Arabidopsis thaliana: one gene and its partner. The protein of the gene in region 2 purifies or fractionates together with the protein of the main gene of each other region. This does not show direct contact. Each region holds a gene or a part of one and is shown on either strand. Other genes may lie near its edges.

Region 1 (8,732 bases), on a different chromosome or scaffold from region 2:
AAAAAAAATATGGGTTCAAAAGATGTAATTCCAACCGTTTATAGAAAAAGAAAACAGAAAAAAATATTTGTGGGAATTTATTAGGCCCACCAATGTCGGAGAGCTGTGGTAGAGTTTTGGTGTCTGGTCTAGATTAGAAAAATGGTTCAATAGTCAATTTGAGTTGTTTTTGACCTGACTCGTCCGAGTGGTAGAGTTTTGGTCTTGGCACCATTTTCATCAGTCCGAGTCAAATCATCTTTCTATTAAGCTAAATGTACTTAACCTGGATTTGCATCCAGATTCCTAAAATTAGAAGAAAATGAAAGTGGAACATAATCAGGAGATGCACTAACTAAATTCAAGAATCAAGAGCTAATAGATTGTACAATAATAATGTTCTCCGGAAAGATAAGCTTTCCAAGCTATCCATTAACACAAGCTTTAGAGATTCAAACTTAAATGTAGTTTAAATTTTAGTATTAATATTGATTTTTTAAAGGCGACAAAAACATAGAAATTATAGTTTTATGCTTATAAATAAATAGTGACTAAGATTACAACATTAAAGTACTTTAAAAAACATAGCCTATTAATAAAAAAACTGTGATATAAGCGAAATGCGCGATCTATGAAACTAGAATTTATAAATATTAAAACAAAAATCTTTGTAAAAAATTTAATCAATATATATTTAGTTACATAGTATTGCATAATTTATTATATTAATACCAAATTATTCAATAAATATTAACTAAATATATATGCAATATATTTATCCAATATATTGTTTTTTGAAATTTGTTTTTGCATAATTTATTATATTAATTTAAACTTGTAAAGTTAGGAATATAAAACGTATAAGTACATTTTCAAAAGTCAAAAATATAATTCTTACTTTAATAACTAAAAAGAAGATGACTTACACAAAGAATCGGACCTTCTTTTGTTTAGGGATAAATGAAATGAGAATCACACTTTTCCAAGATAAAAGGAAACAATTAGTCGACAAAAAAAAAAAAAGGAAACAATTAACAACATGAACTCTAAAACAAGTAACTCTCTCTTGTCTTGTTAGCCGAAGCTACTTACATCAGAGTTTTCCTATTACAGAAGTCCCATGGACACAAGTGAGAAAAAAAAGCACAAAGTCACTCGAACCTCTTTTGTATGCAAATACACTGTAATGGTAAAAAAAAAAAAAAGAGTTACAAAGATACAGAGGCGAGAAAACATCGTCGTTAAGGGCCACATCAGTTAAAAGAACGTGTCACCTTGGGTCCTTCCCGGGGAATAAATAGATGGACTGTTTTGCTTTCTCAGGCGCGTTCATCATTCACGTGGTTCGGGATCTCGGGTTGGCTGTCCAATGGCATGTACTGTGCCATTATGGCTCTGATCTCTGAGTCCATGTATTGCTGTAAAACCAGGGGCATAGGAATGTTAAAACAATTTTCCCCAAGTAACGGATATGGCAAATACAAGATTAATCTTCGCTATTAACACAACAGAAAACAAAAGAGCAGAAGAGATTAAAAAAGCTTACCCTTAGCCTATATTTGTAAACGAGGTATGCACCAGCAGCTGCAAGTCCCAATGATAACATTATAAGCCAAACGGCCGCCCATGCTGATCTCACTTGTGCACCCGTCTTGCCTAGATTTCGACAAATAGAACCAATAACAATTGGAAAACAGGTGGGAGAAACACTATTTGAATAATCAAACTTTAGACTTCCATATTCAAAAAAAAATACTCACTGATGCAAGTGTCATGATCTCTGATGTAGAGAAGGTCCCCGCTACAAGAGCACTCATAGCTTCCCCATGTGTTCTTGCAGCTACACTCTGGGCACTGGCATGCTTTCTTCTCTTTGCACTCATTAATGTCTGGTGCAGGAAGCACGAAAATCCTTATAAGATGATTAGAACTAGAACAAAGTAGTACTGTAATTCAAGTTTTTTCAGAGGGTCTAACCTTCACACTTCTTAGTACCATCTCCTTTAAATCCTGGAGGACACTCGCACTTAACACTGTCCTTGTCCTGAAGGCATTACAAGTTGAGACAGAAGTATCTTACTAAACTGTGAGATTATACACTTAAGCGCAGAAGACACCACTAACCACACAAGCAGAGAACGCATGTCCATCTCGCTCTTCATGCCAACAACCTCCATTGTTGATTGTGCATCTCCCTGGCCCGCTTGCTGCAATGCAAACACCAGTTCAGTATGGAATTTTGACATCAAACGAAAGCACAGCAAAGAGACAACATAAAATTATCAATCTCTAATGGGAAATGATGGCATATAAGTGTTCAAAGTTTTAGTGAGCATGAAATAACAATTATATCTTGAATTTCACCAGGAAGATGTGCGCTCTCAAAAATCTAAGAGGGTAAACCGAAAATTTTCTTTACAATGTACTGACAATGGGTTATATGAGAGCTGCTAGAAGAAGATCAGAATGTCGGTCTATAAGTATCTAAACTATTATCTTTCCATACTTAGATTGCTACTGAATAATACAAGTCTGATAAATTTATAAGAGCTAATCAAAGATGACATGAACACTTACGTTCACAGTGACTGTAACCATCCCCTTTGAATTGCACACCATCAACTGTAGGACACTCGCATACTCTTCCACGAAAAGTATCCTGCGGATTAAGCAGATTTAATAAAGATAGCACAGAATTTATTCCAAGCAATTTCACATTATACCTTGCAAGCAGTTATGTTGGCTGATTTATCTTGCCAACAACCACCATTGTTATCTAAGCACTCGTTTGACTCCACATCTGTAAATTGTAAAAGAAGTTTACAATACATTCCAAACATTTATTTGATAAGCTAGGATAAGGTGGTTCAGGTATGAGCACAGGCAGCTGTGGGCATCAATCGTTAATACCCCAAATATATCCAAATTTAGATTTATGATTCTTGCTCGGGTATGGGTCAGCTATTTCAGGTTTTGGTGAGGACCCAAATTTTGGATACTCAAACCCAAATTTTGGATACTTAACAACACAAGTTCACCCGATACACCAAAACGTATTCCAATGTGTATACAGGTAAAGCTTATTCAGACGAGTTTGAGTGAATTCCGAAATGCCCACAATTAGGCAAGACCAACAATATATACCTGTGCTGAGGCATATCGCTGGTTCAGTGGTCTCCTCAAAACCAGAGCATAAAGCCTTGAGTACTGCACTCTTCTCCAACTTTCCTGCAAGGAAACATTTATTTAACAAAGGTAAACTACAAGTATTGAAGTCTTAAGTTAACTATGTAAGACAAACCTCGGTACTGTCTGTTGTTGACAACCAAGGTAGGCAATATGGTAACATCACCCCTTGAACCCTTGCCAACCTACATAATATAATATGTCAATCACAAACGAACGGATTATTCAAAGATTATAACTATGAAACGCCGGAGGAAAATACAGATGAAAATGACTAATATTTACTTGAGCATCTTGTTCTTCCTTAAGAACTGGATTGTCCAAGTCAGCATCAGGGTCTCCCATACACTTGTCAAGTTTTTTACTATCAATTCCTGTAAAGACATAGTAACTATGCATCATTCTCCCCAAAATTGTCTTTCTTTAATTTGCATATAACAGACACACTCACCAAGAGATTTGATAACGGAATCAGCACACTCCTTATTGTATTTCTTCTCCTTCATGGGACATCTGATCTGGAAATCAGTAACATAATCCCACCAGACCCAAGGTTTGCCGGTTTCATTCGCCACCTTGTAAACACAAAGCTGTCTCAAGTTTTCCACGACCACATCTTTTCCATCGTATCCCGAGCTAAAGTCCTGCTCTGGATCAGGAGCACAGTACCTTCCTTTATTGATACACTGAGACTTACACTGTCGACTCAACGTGAAAGCATGAGGACAATACCAAGTAATATAATGAGGTCTAAACTGCGTAAACCCGCCTTTCTCAAGAATCTGCGCCGCTCCCTTAAAATCTTTCACAAACTCCATCAACATATCACACTTAACCCCACATTCATCATTACTATTAGTCCACAACTCATACTCAACACGGTCATCAGGATGCGGAACAGCCTCTCTCCAGTCAAGATTCAAGTTAACCATATCTCCTCCACTAATAGCTTTCTTCAGCTTTTCACCAAAACCTTTAGTAACAAGAGCAGAAGGTATAGTAATATTCTCAATATACTTTGCAGAAGAAACATCTTCTTCAGGTGTATCCATTGTAATCAAAGGTTCATCAACATTATCAGCTACAAGAACAGCAGAAGCACCTGCTTTCTGTGCGTTCCATACCTTCAAAGCGAAGAAACAATCTACACAACAACAACAACAACAACAACAACACTTATAAACCCTAAGGAATCGAATCGAATCGAATCAAATCGATTGAGTAAGAGATTGAAGTACCTCCACGATCAACTAAGAGGAAAGTAGGTAAAGCACCAGGCTGAGACTTGAACGAAATCGAGAAATCGCTAAATTCCTTACACGATTTCTGATTCTCTTTCGGATAAACCACCGTACCAGCCATACTTCCACCGTATTGAGGAATCCCGAAGTTACCAATTGCACTATCATGAGTTCCTTTTATACTCTCCGGCGACGTCACGGACAAACTGTTCTTCTCCACCACGAATCGAGCGTCGTTTAAAGGGGAAACCAGAAGAGTGAGGAGAAGCAGCCATGGAAGGTAACACAGAAGCTGCTTCATCTTCAAGACTCCGCCACAACAAAGAACAAATTCGAAGGACAAGGAAAATGATCAAAGATGATATGATAGAATTTGAAATATATTCTCGGAAGGTAAAAGACTTGAAGAGTGTTTTCCAGAGAAAATAAATCTGGTTTTTCTTGTTGAGCGGTTTGGGTGTGACTGGGAAGACTATAGATGACCCATTCAAGTCAAACAAAATATTTTATATAACGCTATCAAGCCACGTGTTGCACGGGTTAAATTTAAAACCAGTAAAAAAATTTTTTAACAATTAGTTGATATCAGAAATAAATACATGAGGAATTTTAATATTTTGGTTACAGATTGAAAAAGAGCAAAGAGAAGATATATTTATCAATCTATCGATTTACTTTGTTATTTTTAAGTTTTTGTTCTAAAAATATATTCTTAGTTTTTTAAATACGGAAATATATTTAATTCTAGAGTATGTAATACTTTAGAATTATCCACGAAATTTGTTTTAATACTGTTCTGAAATAATGTTTTTTAAAAAAGGTGTAAATTGATGTAATACACATTCATGGAATGCATGTGAGGATCGAAATGAAGATCTTATTGTGATGATATATACTTTTCTTTTTGCCTCTTTCCATGTGACAAAACAATTAATTTAATTATTAATAATAAAATATGTTATTGAAAATTTTAGCATTAGTTAATTTTTCTGTGAATTTATAATTAGAATGTTGTCAAAGGAGATTAAAGATTAGAATATAGATATCTAATTTTAAAAAAAAGTAAAAAAAAATATAGTTTCAAAACATGTTGTTTTGAAACCTACCCAATGAAAATTATAACCAATTGAGAAAATAAGTTTTGGCGAAAGTTTTGGATTTTAGTAACAATTGAGCTTGAATGGAGTATTTTTGTTAAAAGACTTTGAATAGAGTTGTTATCCTAAAAATTTTAAAATTGTTAATGCATAAAAAAAGAAGACAATTATCCCAAAAGCAAGTTCATAATCAACTTTGCATATCCTAAACATAGATACATAAACATGCAATCTCAGAGCAACACCAATGGTAAGAGACCATTAGGGGCTCTTCATATTTTTTTAATCATAATTTTGAAATTTAAAAGTTTAAGAGATTTTTTTGGTTCTTTAATTTTTTGTTTGTCCAATGGTAGGTCTTTAAGCGGGTTTCTTAAAAAATAAAATATTATTATTAAATTAAAAATTACAAATATTTTATTTCATAAAATTTAATTATTAATGTAAATACTTAAATATTAAACATACATGATATAAATATTGAAAACCAAAATAACGATTAGTGGTTAGCTTGATTCCCGCCAAATTTGTGCCATAAATGCTCAATTAAATTATTTTTCAATTGTTGATGCATAGTCCGAGCACGAACCAGGCTCCAGACGCCATAATATTACCGAGATTTGAAGCCATATCTGTAAAATAGTTGAAATCCACTTGTGAAGAAGCGGTTGATTCCGGTTGTGTGAATTCGGATGCATCAAAATAAGTATACTCATCTCGTTCATCCTCAACTATCATATTGTAAAGTATTATACATGCTCGCATGATCATTCCTACCTTTTCTTTATCTCAAATAAGAGTTGGATTTGTGACAATGGCAAACCGAGCTTGCAAAACTCCAAAAGCACGCTCTACATCTTTACGACAAACTTCTTGATTTGTAGCAAATAAAGAATCTTTGTCACCTTGAGGAAGTGAAATAGATTGGATAATGTAGGTCATTTAGGATAAATACCATATGTGAGCTAGTAAGCCAAATGATTTAGTCGTTTCCGTTGATGACGTATTTCACTTTTGGAGCTCGGCCTTATATTATATCATCAAAAACTAGTGAGAGATTAAGTATATTGATATCATTTAAGGTACCTAGAGGTCCAAAACATATGTGCCATATCCAAAGATTTTGGGAAGCAACAGCCTGTAGTTCGATTGTTGGTTTTCCAGATCCACGTGTATATTGTTCTTTCCAAGCGGTCGGGCAATTCTTTCACTCCCAATGCATACAATCGATGCTTCCTGTCATCCCGAGAAATCCACGGAGCTCTCCAATACGCAGTAGTCGTTTAAGATCTTGTCGCGTAGGTCTTCTTAGATACTCTTTCCCGAACAAATATATGATTGCTTCAACCGAATGTATCATACAAGACATCAAAGTGTTTTCACCAATCCGGAGGTATTTGTCAACCGCATCTGTCGCACAATACAAATTGTTGCTTGTGGTGTCTTCTTGTACAAGTGATGTCGGCACCACTCAAATCTTCAGGATCCTGCAACTCAAAACTCATTTGATAAGACCAACCACAAGTTAGAGAACTTAAAGCATAGAACACAACTGAAACACTTAAATTATATAACACACAAACTCAAAACTCATTTCATTCATGATCAAAACTAAAACACTTAAAGTATATAATACAACCTATCATAAAGACCAAACTTATTAGCCGAAACACAAAGCAATAACTAAAGTCCAAACTATTAGCCGGAAAAGAAAGTAATAACTAAAGTCCAAACTCATTTGATAAAGTCCAAACTCATTATCCGAAACACAAAGTAATAACTAAAGTCCAAACTGATTTCATAAAGAGCAAACTCATAAGCAGAAACACAAAGTAATAACTAAAGTACAAACTCATTTCTTAAAGACCAAACTCATTAGTCGTAATAACTAAAGTCCAAACTCATTTCATAAAACCAAACTCATTTCATTCAAGAACACAACTGAAATAATTAAATCCACGTATTGCAATAGACGAGTGTTTATGTTTCAATTCATACACAAACCAAATCAAATTCATATCAATCTAAAAGGCAAAAATCAAAAGTAATAACGACTGATTATGTGAACACAAAACCCTAATTTCGTTTACATATAAAAGCCCTAATTATCAATCATAAAACCACAATTCACGAAACCCTAATTTCAACAATTTCTATTAAACCCTAAATAATGAAGATCTAAACACTCAAATCAAATGAATCATACCTTCAGAAGAGATTGGAGATGAGTATCAATAAATTCTCCGATTTCGAACCTTAAACTCTCCGATTTGGATCAATGACGAATCGACACACTATCGCCGTCGATTGAGACGGATCGACACACTATCGCCGTTGATCGAGACGGATCGCCACACAATTGCCGTCTTGTTCTCTTTGAGCTAATGATCGAGACAGATCGATATCGGAGAGATACAATCGCCGTAAAAAGTCGCCGCTGCAGAGAGAAACCAAACACGTGAATGCCCAAAAAAAACTAAACACTTGTAAAAGATTACGTTTATCGAAAAACTTCATGGACCAATAATATTTAGCCACGTATGGGTCCATGAAGTATCCCTTCGATAGGGAACGGCCCAGATCTATTTTTGCATTTTCTATTTAATTTTGGGTTTTCTGGAAGAACCTACTATATTAAGAACTCTATAAGACCATCCTTATTGCAAGTCTCTTACTATAAATCTTAGGCATAATATAATCAAAAGAGTATGTGAATAGTTAAGAAGAGTTTCTTAGCTAAAAGATAAAAGAAAGTTTAAGAGCATCATTATGGTTGTCTCTTTGATTAGTTCTTAGGATAAGAACATCTCATTTTAACTCTTATATAAGAGACAAATGACAAAATGTCTCTTATATAAGAGTCAAAATGAGATGTTCTTAGTAATTAATGATCAAAAAAAATTCTAAGAACTAACCTAAGAAACTACCATTAATGAAGCTCTAAGAGCTTCAAACCATTACAAAAGTTCTTAGTTACAATTTTTTCAATAAAACAATTCATTAAGATTCAAAATTAAGAGCCTATCATTAAGGTTACTCTAAGGGACTTCCATTGAACGTGCTCTAAGACTTATTAATTCTAAGTCTAGTCATGTTTGAGTTTTGTCTATAAAGTCTATATAGATGTGAGAAGTGTCTTTTAGTAAGATAATCATAAGAATAATTTCAATTACAAACTTCAATTCAAGATACCATAAAAAGAAAATTAAATAAAACATAGCACGATTTA
Region 2 (7,856 bases):
GTGTTGTTGTCGCAGCTAAATTAAAAGGCTCATTATGTATGTATGTACAACATCTTAGTCATCTTGGAACAACAATTAAAAAGGCATTTCATCAAAAAAATTCTACAAACGTTACAACACTAGGAATGATGACGCGTACTCGCAACTCTGTCTTCTATCTAAAAGTCCACACGTACACAAGTATGAGTTTAAAGGCGTTGGGGAAAATATTTTTTTGAAAGGGGTTAAAGTTATCAACGTAGACGAGTCTTCGAACAAATTAATGAATATTTATTAGTTTTTAGTTTTGGATTTCATGATTTCATTCAGAACATGTACATAAGTACATTCTCTGTCTATGTCAATCTTCTTTATCAAATAAATAAATAAATAAAAAACTCCCTGTCAATCTTCATAATTGATAAATATTACATAGTTCACGAAAAATATATAGTTCAACATTACTTAGAAGTTAGAAGATTAAATTTTCTTCATATAATAATGATCGGAAAGTTGTTCCAATATTAATAGAATATAATATCGTTTCCAGAACACATATTTTTGTTCTGATAATAAGTAATAAAGTTGATGTTTCCTGGAAATCAGAAGGAAGGAAGGTATATTACGAAAGAGATTCCGAGATCTATACAGAACTGTTTTTTAAACAAACTGCCATAGTTAATCACATGGTGGCCACATAAAGAAGACCATAGAAATGATACAAAGCAGTGCTGAAGTCGTTGCCGTTTACGCGGTTTTATGGCATATGTCATTATGATCTCCCTCTCCCTCTATATCAACTGGATACATAAACACACATACTAATGAACTTCTATAAATATAACATACATAGAATGAAGCTGAAGCATAAACAGCCCAACCAAGTCATATCTTATCTCTGTTCTTTGACTTTCCCTTTTTACAGATTCTTTGCCAATAGAACCTAAGAAAAAGACATAATATCGTTGATGGAGAAAATTACAAAGGAAGAAAGGAGAAACAGATGCCTTCCAAGTTTTGGAAGCATATATCGAAGTAAGAGGACGGGTAAGAAAGAGGCAGCAGCAGCAAAAACCAAGGTAGAGGCGGATCTGATTATTGTAAAAAATGAAGATAAATCTAACGAGGAACAGAAGAAGATTGAAAAATGTTGGATGATGAGTGAGGATGGGGAAGGCGGCAAGTCAACTGTAGAGTATGATGGTTCAAGCATTTTAAACACAAGTGGGGTCTTGCGTGGGGATGAAGACATCAGTGAGGAGGAACCTGAGGAAGTAGCAGAGATATTGATAGATAAAGAGGAAGATAGTGAATTTCTAATAACGATGGTTTTGGACCTTTTGGTGGAAGACAACAAGTCGCTTCAACACAAGTCAAACGCTGCGAACAAAAACAGTAGCTTGCTTGATGAAGAGGTAATCACGGGGGAAGGCAGCAAGGAATGTGATGGAGTTCTGTCCATTGATGAAAGCTTAAAGGTGGTGGAAACCGAGAAGGTTGATAAAGCAGACGAGAAATCAACGGTTGAACAACGCTTAGAGAACGTGGATGCCAATCGTACACAGGCCGAGCAACCTACAACCCAAGAGCAGGCTATAACAATTCAAAAACAAAATCGAGGTACACATATTCTCAAGTGCTAATTCTGCACTTGGAAGTATCTCATGCACTAGTTTGTTTGTACTTTGTAGCAAATAGATTGATTCTTATATGTTCCATTTTGTGTTGTAGCAGTTACTCGGCCAAGGCAGCCAACTTATGTACCCTCCCCATCAGCTCGGGGTCAGGGATATCACGTGTCCGCAGCACCAATTAATATGGGAATCTGTGCTCCACCGAGTCATCCTATGAGGAATGACTTTAACAAGGTGAAGACGTTTGATCTGAAAGGAGTAATAAAGAGTAGCGGTAAGGGATTGAAATCAATTGCTTGGCCCCGACGTTTTTCAGTCAAATGAACAAACTCCTAATTTAACTCAAATTACTATCCTCTTAACTATCTGTATAATTTTATCTCTTCAAAATCACTCAAACAACTTCCTACCATTCTCCCATCTTTTTAATTTGTATGCCTTATACTTAATTTTAATTGGTTCAATCGTCATACTTCATGAATAAGATGTTTCCTTCAAATATATAAACGATGCAGTGTGTAATTTGCAGTCGGTGTCGGATTTCGCACACATTCGACTCAACGAAATTAATGTTTTGAAAATTTAAATTGGACATCGAAAATTTATATTCATTGGATATATGTGTGTCCCAAATAAAAGTAAACAAGAATGTAGAACACATCAAAATAATTAATATCACTTATCCTGCAACAAAATGAGAAAACAACAAAATTAGATCATAAAATATATTATTCAAAATTATACTTAGTAAATTTAATGGTAAAAGATCAAATATGACTTGCTTTTCAAAATGTTAAAACAGTCTCGAATACGTAAAATAATTTGATCACAAAATAAAGTATATAGATAACAAGATTTTCTAATCTATATCAAATTGGAAAATATTTTTTCATAACAGTGAAAAGATTTTTTTTTAAAAGTTTGTACATTGATTTTTGATTCAAAAACCTTAGTTAATTAAAAGATCTCTTACCAATAAAAGTTTCTGAATGGGATTTGGTATTGAACTGTGTCCTTAAATCCGGGTTTTAGTTCAACCACGAGTTTAACTACATAAACGATTTCCGGTCAGCCTGGTCCTGACGGGCCACCAATTTTCAAAACATTGACGAAAGCAAGCCCAATAACATCAAATATAATTAACAAATTTTAGTTTGAATACGGTTACTGTTTTGGAAATTGATACATTCCGATCTTGGACTAATCTATAATCCATGGGCTGGCTATTTTGCAGTTTCCCGTAAATAAAATTATGAAAACATGATTGATTTCTCGTTGGTAGACCATGACATCACAGGACACGTCAACATTCCAAGTATAAAGGACAAAACTGTCCATTTAGATTCCACCACGTGTCCCGATAACGTTTCCGTCTGTATCTCTCTCTTCCGTCTTCTACTCTTCTTCTTCTTCTTCTTCTTCCACTCACAATCTATCGAGCTAAAACACTGAAGCAGACATTAGCGTTGAGAAAAAAAAAAAAGTAAGAACGAGAGAGAGAAAGCCATGTCTGCGAAAACAATCCTATCATCAGTAGTTTTGGTGGTTCTCGTCGCCGCATCAGCAGCGGCTAATATCGGATTCGATGAGTCAAACCCGATCCGAATGGTCTCCGATGGTCTCCGGGAGGTAGAAGAATCTGTTTCCCAGATCTTAGGTCAATCTCGTCACGTTCTCTCTTTCGCTCGCTTCACTCACCGGTAAGTCTCGTCCTTTCACCACCCGTGCTTTCTCCGTTGACTTTTGATCTTAGCTTTTGATCATCGTTTGTTGGTGATGAAGATATGGTAAAAAGTATCAGAACGTGGAGGAGATGAAGCTTCGATTCTCGATTTTCAAGGAGAATCTTGATTTGATCAGATCCACCAACAAGAAAGGCTTATCTTACAAACTCGGTGTTAATCGTAAGTTTTTTTTTTTATCTTTCTTCTCCTGAGTTTGTACTTAAGGAAGTAAACGTATGTATAAAAGACACTGTGGGAAAACGTGGAAACTAACTTTTGTTCTGTCTTGGAATCTTCCAAGTTAATATTTTTAAATTTTGATTTTTTTCTTTCGTTCACGTGATTCAAGATTGTTATTGGGACTCTAGACTTTACAGAGTTTATGAGTCTATGAACTCTGTGTGAGAGACTAGTTTGTGTCAAAAACAGTGTTCTGCTTCTTTAAGATTTAGCTGTCCTGAGTTGAAGATTGGTTCTCGTTCCTACTTCCTTGTAGAGTTGTAGGGATCTAATCTTTATTTGTCCTAGAACTGACACTGCAATGGTTTGATGAATAATGATTTACCTAAATATTGCTAATTGTGTCTTGAATCTATACAGAATTTGCTGATTTGACATGGCAAGAGTTTCAAAGGACCAAGCTTGGTGCTGCTCAGAACTGCTCTGCCACTTTAAAGGGCAGCCACAAGGTCACAGAAGCAGCTCTTCCTGAAACAGTAAGTCCAGGACTCAATCTTGCTGCACTGAACTATGTCAACCACCATCCCGTTCTGTTTTTCAGCTCTAAGAGAACGTGTTTAGCTGCAGACCTTTTTAAAAATTTGGTTCTGAGTTCTCAAATTGTGTAACTGCAGAAAGACTGGAGAGAAGATGGTATCGTTAGTCCGGTCAAAGATCAGGGAGGTTGTGGATCTTGCTGGACATTCAGGTAAAAGTAAAACCAATGATTAAGATACTCTCTTTAATTTTTGGTGGGATCTTTTGATGTCAAATTGAAGGTCGAGATTGTATGTCATATGATTGTTTTTTGTACTGCAGCACAACTGGAGCTCTTGAGGCAGCTTACCATCAGGCATTTGGAAAAGGAATTTCTCTCTCTGAGCAACAGCTTGTGGATTGTGCTGGAGCTTTCAATAACTATGGTTGCAATGGTGGCCTTCCTTCTCAAGCCTTTGAATACATCAAATCCAACGGTGGCCTCGACACAGAGAAAGCTTATCCTTATACCGGTAAAGATGAAACCTGCAAATTTTCAGCTGAAAACGTTGGTGTACAAGTCCTCAACTCAGTCAACATTACTCTGGTAAGCATCTTTTATGGATTTTGAATTTCACTTGCATGAGAATATACATTCTGTAATGATGATTGAAACAACAACAACAACAGGGTGCTGAAGATGAACTGAAGCATGCGGTTGGATTGGTACGGCCAGTAAGCATAGCATTTGAGGTTATACACTCGTTCCGGCTTTACAAGAGTGGAGTTTACACTGATAGTCACTGTGGAAGTACTCCAATGGTGAGACTTTCTTCTTTAAACTGTTAAAAAGACTTTCATTGGTTCACATAAAATCTTCTTAGGAACTTAGCTTAGTGTTCGGTTTCCTTAATGTGGCAATATAGGATGTGAACCACGCGGTTTTGGCCGTTGGTTATGGAGTTGAAGACGGTGTACCATATTGGCTTATTAAGAACTCATGGGGAGCGGATTGGGGCGACAAAGGTTACTTCAAGATGGAGATGGGGAAGAACATGTGTGGTAAGTTCTTTAATAATTATGAAACCATCACACCATTCTCAAATTCTCACAGTTGGTCTTTCTCTATCTATTGTTGATTCGTTCTTGAATTGCAGGTATTGCTACATGTGCATCATACCCCGTTGTGGCTTGAGATGATCAGCGAATGTGGTTGGTCAATTATCAAATTACGAAATGTTCACGTATTTATTGGATTAAGACATTACGTAAAAGTTGGGACTTGGGAATGCATATGGTTTATGCTTGTTGTAACATAAAAAGGTCTGTTAATATGTACAAAATAAAGCCAAAACTATAGACGACAAATTTATAATATTTTCATGTTAAATTTATGAACATAAATTGATTTAGATCAAAGTAGTTTCGTTCTTGATCCTAAGTCAATTTGTCTAACATATAGCTTTTACTTTGAATCTTGATCCTTGAGTCATTTTGTATAACATACAGCTTACAAGTTATGACTTTATTTTGTTTTGGTAATTGGTATTCTAAACGAAAATGAAATCTAATAACGTGATTAATAGTGGTCACATGGATATCTCATAAATCTCTATCCAATTGTGTGATTAAGAACATGCAAAACTGCAAATAAAGTATAAAAAATCATTTACACAAAACTTCATCTAGTTTTTGGACATCAAATTCACAAAAAGCAGCATATAACACTACAATAATTGATTTCACTTTTATTTTATTTGTTTGTTTACCTTTCTAAGTTCAAATATAAATTCTATGATTAGTTTATTATAATTACAATTTTTATTTTTTTTACTCTGATTTGAATTTTTTACATGGACACGAAAGAAGAAGAAGACCACATGTTGGTTCCGAATAAAACATGGCCGAGTCACCCTCCGAGTCAACCTCCGACTCGCTTAGCACCACCACATCCACTAAGCCCGCTCAATCCGGGACTGTTTCTATTTCAAGCCCTCAAAGTCACCATGTCGTCTTCCCCGAGATCCCAATCGAGATCGTCAGTGAAGAAGAAATGGCTATTCTCGATGCAGCTCTTGCAGCCTCCCGCTCCATCCTCCCTTCCGTGATCCGTTCTGTTTCTCCGTCACGGATAACCGCCGGCGGAAGTCCCAAAACAATCCGCTCAATTACTCTCTTCTCCAAGAGGAAATTATCGGCTTGTTCAGATATCGAAGAGTCTTATCTACATCGATTTAGGAGAAATCAAGCTTTAGGTGTCACAGATCTCACCGGAACTGTACGTTTTTTTTATCACAGATTATAGGAAAGAAGAGATCATATAAGCACATTTGACAATGATAGTGATCTCTCTCTATTTGGTTATAGGAATGGTGTGAGAAACAAATGGAGAATGTTCTTTGTTTTGGCAGGAGAAAAGTCAATAAAGCTATGAAAGTTGGTCAGGCTCGTCATTTGCAGCTTGAAGAAGAGGTATTATTCACTATGATGGATCTTAGGGGCTTATTGTTACTATTAAGAGTACTTGATCGTTTTGTGAACAATTTGATGAAATCTACTTGTTGTTGTGTTTATATAATTGGGTAGGTAGTTAAAAAAGTGAGAGTAAAAGTTGAATCAAATGAAGATAAGTGGGCATTGAAGCTGTTGAATTCCATTGCTGGTGTTAATCAGTTCTTGTTTGAAGGACGAACTCGTGAATTGCTACTGTGAGTTCCTTCTACCCCTCTAGTTTCGATCTTCTTTTGTAACATTCTCGTGGCTTTTACCTTTTCCTAGCAAGATAATGTTTTGTAGCATACATCAAATGAGACTTTAAATATGTTGCATTTTACCTTGTAAAGCTTAGGATTTGTTGGAGGTCAATGGATTGTGGGAATTATTGACGAGCTTAGAAAGGCGTATGCAGAAGAGTCTTCTGATAGCGGACCAATATTGATAGATACAAAGACTCGACTCCGTGATACACTTCCAGCTGAGCCACAGAGGAGGAATGGAAGGTAAGTGTTTGATAGAGTTAAGGAAAACGTTGGTCATTTTTGGTTTTGGTTTAATACGTGGGAGTTTTGTGTTAATGTCCTTGAATTAACTATATTTGACAGGCTTCAGCTAATGCTTTACAAGCTTCTATGGGACACTATTGTGAAAGAAGGGTTTCCAACGGGACCTTTTTTCGACTACTTTTCTTTGAATCGCAATTATGTCTTATCCCAAGATGTCAGAGATCACATTGCTAATGCAGGTATCAAAGCTCAGGTATACTTATCTTTGACTCTGTACAATATATCTTTCACTAAACCAAAGTTTATGTGTTTATGAAGAGAGAATTACTCACTTCGAAATGGGGTTGTATTGATATTTTCTTACTAGTTTTAACTTGGTGCAGACACTTGAAGAGATAGTTAGGTACTATGAAAACACTTTTCAGATGCTTCCGATAGCAAATAATCAACTATTACTAAAGTAAGTAGAGATGGCTTGTTCTTGATGTTATAGAATACATTAATATATCTCTGATCATCTGATTGTAGTTGAGTGGGAAATTTTGCCTCAGGTACGAGTTTCAGAAGGACCAATCTATAATAGCTGAAATTAGATTCAACCATGATCATGAATGGGTGATGAGCAAATATAGAGAAGTCATTGAGTTCTGGAGAAATGAACGAGAAGCTGGGTACACTCCTGAAGAAGAACGTTGGAAATGTCGGTATTGCCAATTTGCTAAGTCTTGCCCTGGAAACCCGAGTTTCGAATCTCCTAGCACAAGCTCACCAACAAGAGAGGCTCCTCCTTTACCAAGCTAAAAAGAAGATGAAAAGTTGAT

What was found.
Region 1: the proteins of ALP (region 2) and VSR3 purify together in Arabidopsis thaliana (affinity purification with western blotting, with the first as the bait; one study listed by BioGRID). This does not show direct contact.

Annotation. Positions count from the first base shown.
Region 1 is NC_003071.7:6,304,870-6,313,601, reverse strand, and holds VSR3 (vacuolar sorting receptor 3), read right to left. Parts: upstream 4,920-8,732; 5' UTR 4,708-4,919; coding exon 4,404-4,707; intron 4,310-4,403; coding exon 3,617-4,309; intron 3,540-3,616; coding exon 3,451-3,539; intron 3,351-3,450; coding exon 3,281-3,350; intron 3,208-3,280; coding exon 3,124-3,207; intron 2,780-3,123; coding exon 2,703-2,779; intron 2,639-2,702; coding exon 2,557-2,638; intron 2,187-2,556; coding exon 2,104-2,186; intron 2,024-2,103; coding exon 1,957-2,023; intron 1,869-1,956; coding exon 1,740-1,868; intron 1,636-1,739; coding exon 1,526-1,635; intron 1,398-1,525; coding exon 1,299-1,397; 3' UTR 1,254-1,298; exon of another isoform or gene 1,161-1,253; 3' UTR 876-1,160; downstream 1-875. UniProt on the Arabidopsis thaliana protein: Vacuolar-sorting receptor (VSR) involved in clathrin-coated vesicles sorting from Golgi apparatus to vacuoles.
Region 2 is NC_003076.8:24,276,925-24,284,780, forward strand, and holds ALP (aleurain-like protease), read left to right. Parts: upstream 1-2,972; 5' UTR 2,973-3,119; coding exon 3,120-3,313; intron 3,314-3,395; coding exon 3,396-3,517; intron 3,518-3,937; coding exon 3,938-4,053; intron 4,054-4,191; coding exon 4,192-4,265; intron 4,266-4,375; coding exon 4,376-4,640; intron 4,641-4,723; coding exon 4,724-4,855; intron 4,856-4,959; coding exon 4,960-5,099; intron 5,100-5,190; coding exon 5,191-5,233; 3' UTR 5,234-5,444; downstream 5,445-7,856. Other genes in the region: AT5G60350 (uncharacterized protein), read left to right, coding at 948-1,599, 1,711-1,937; AT5G60370 (exonuclease V-like protein), read left to right, coding at 5,934-6,311, 6,401-6,505, 6,620-6,741, 6,877-7,032, 7,135-7,288, 7,419-7,495, 7,587-7,836. UniProt on the Arabidopsis thaliana protein: May play a role in proteolysis leading to mobilization of nitrogen during senescence and starvation.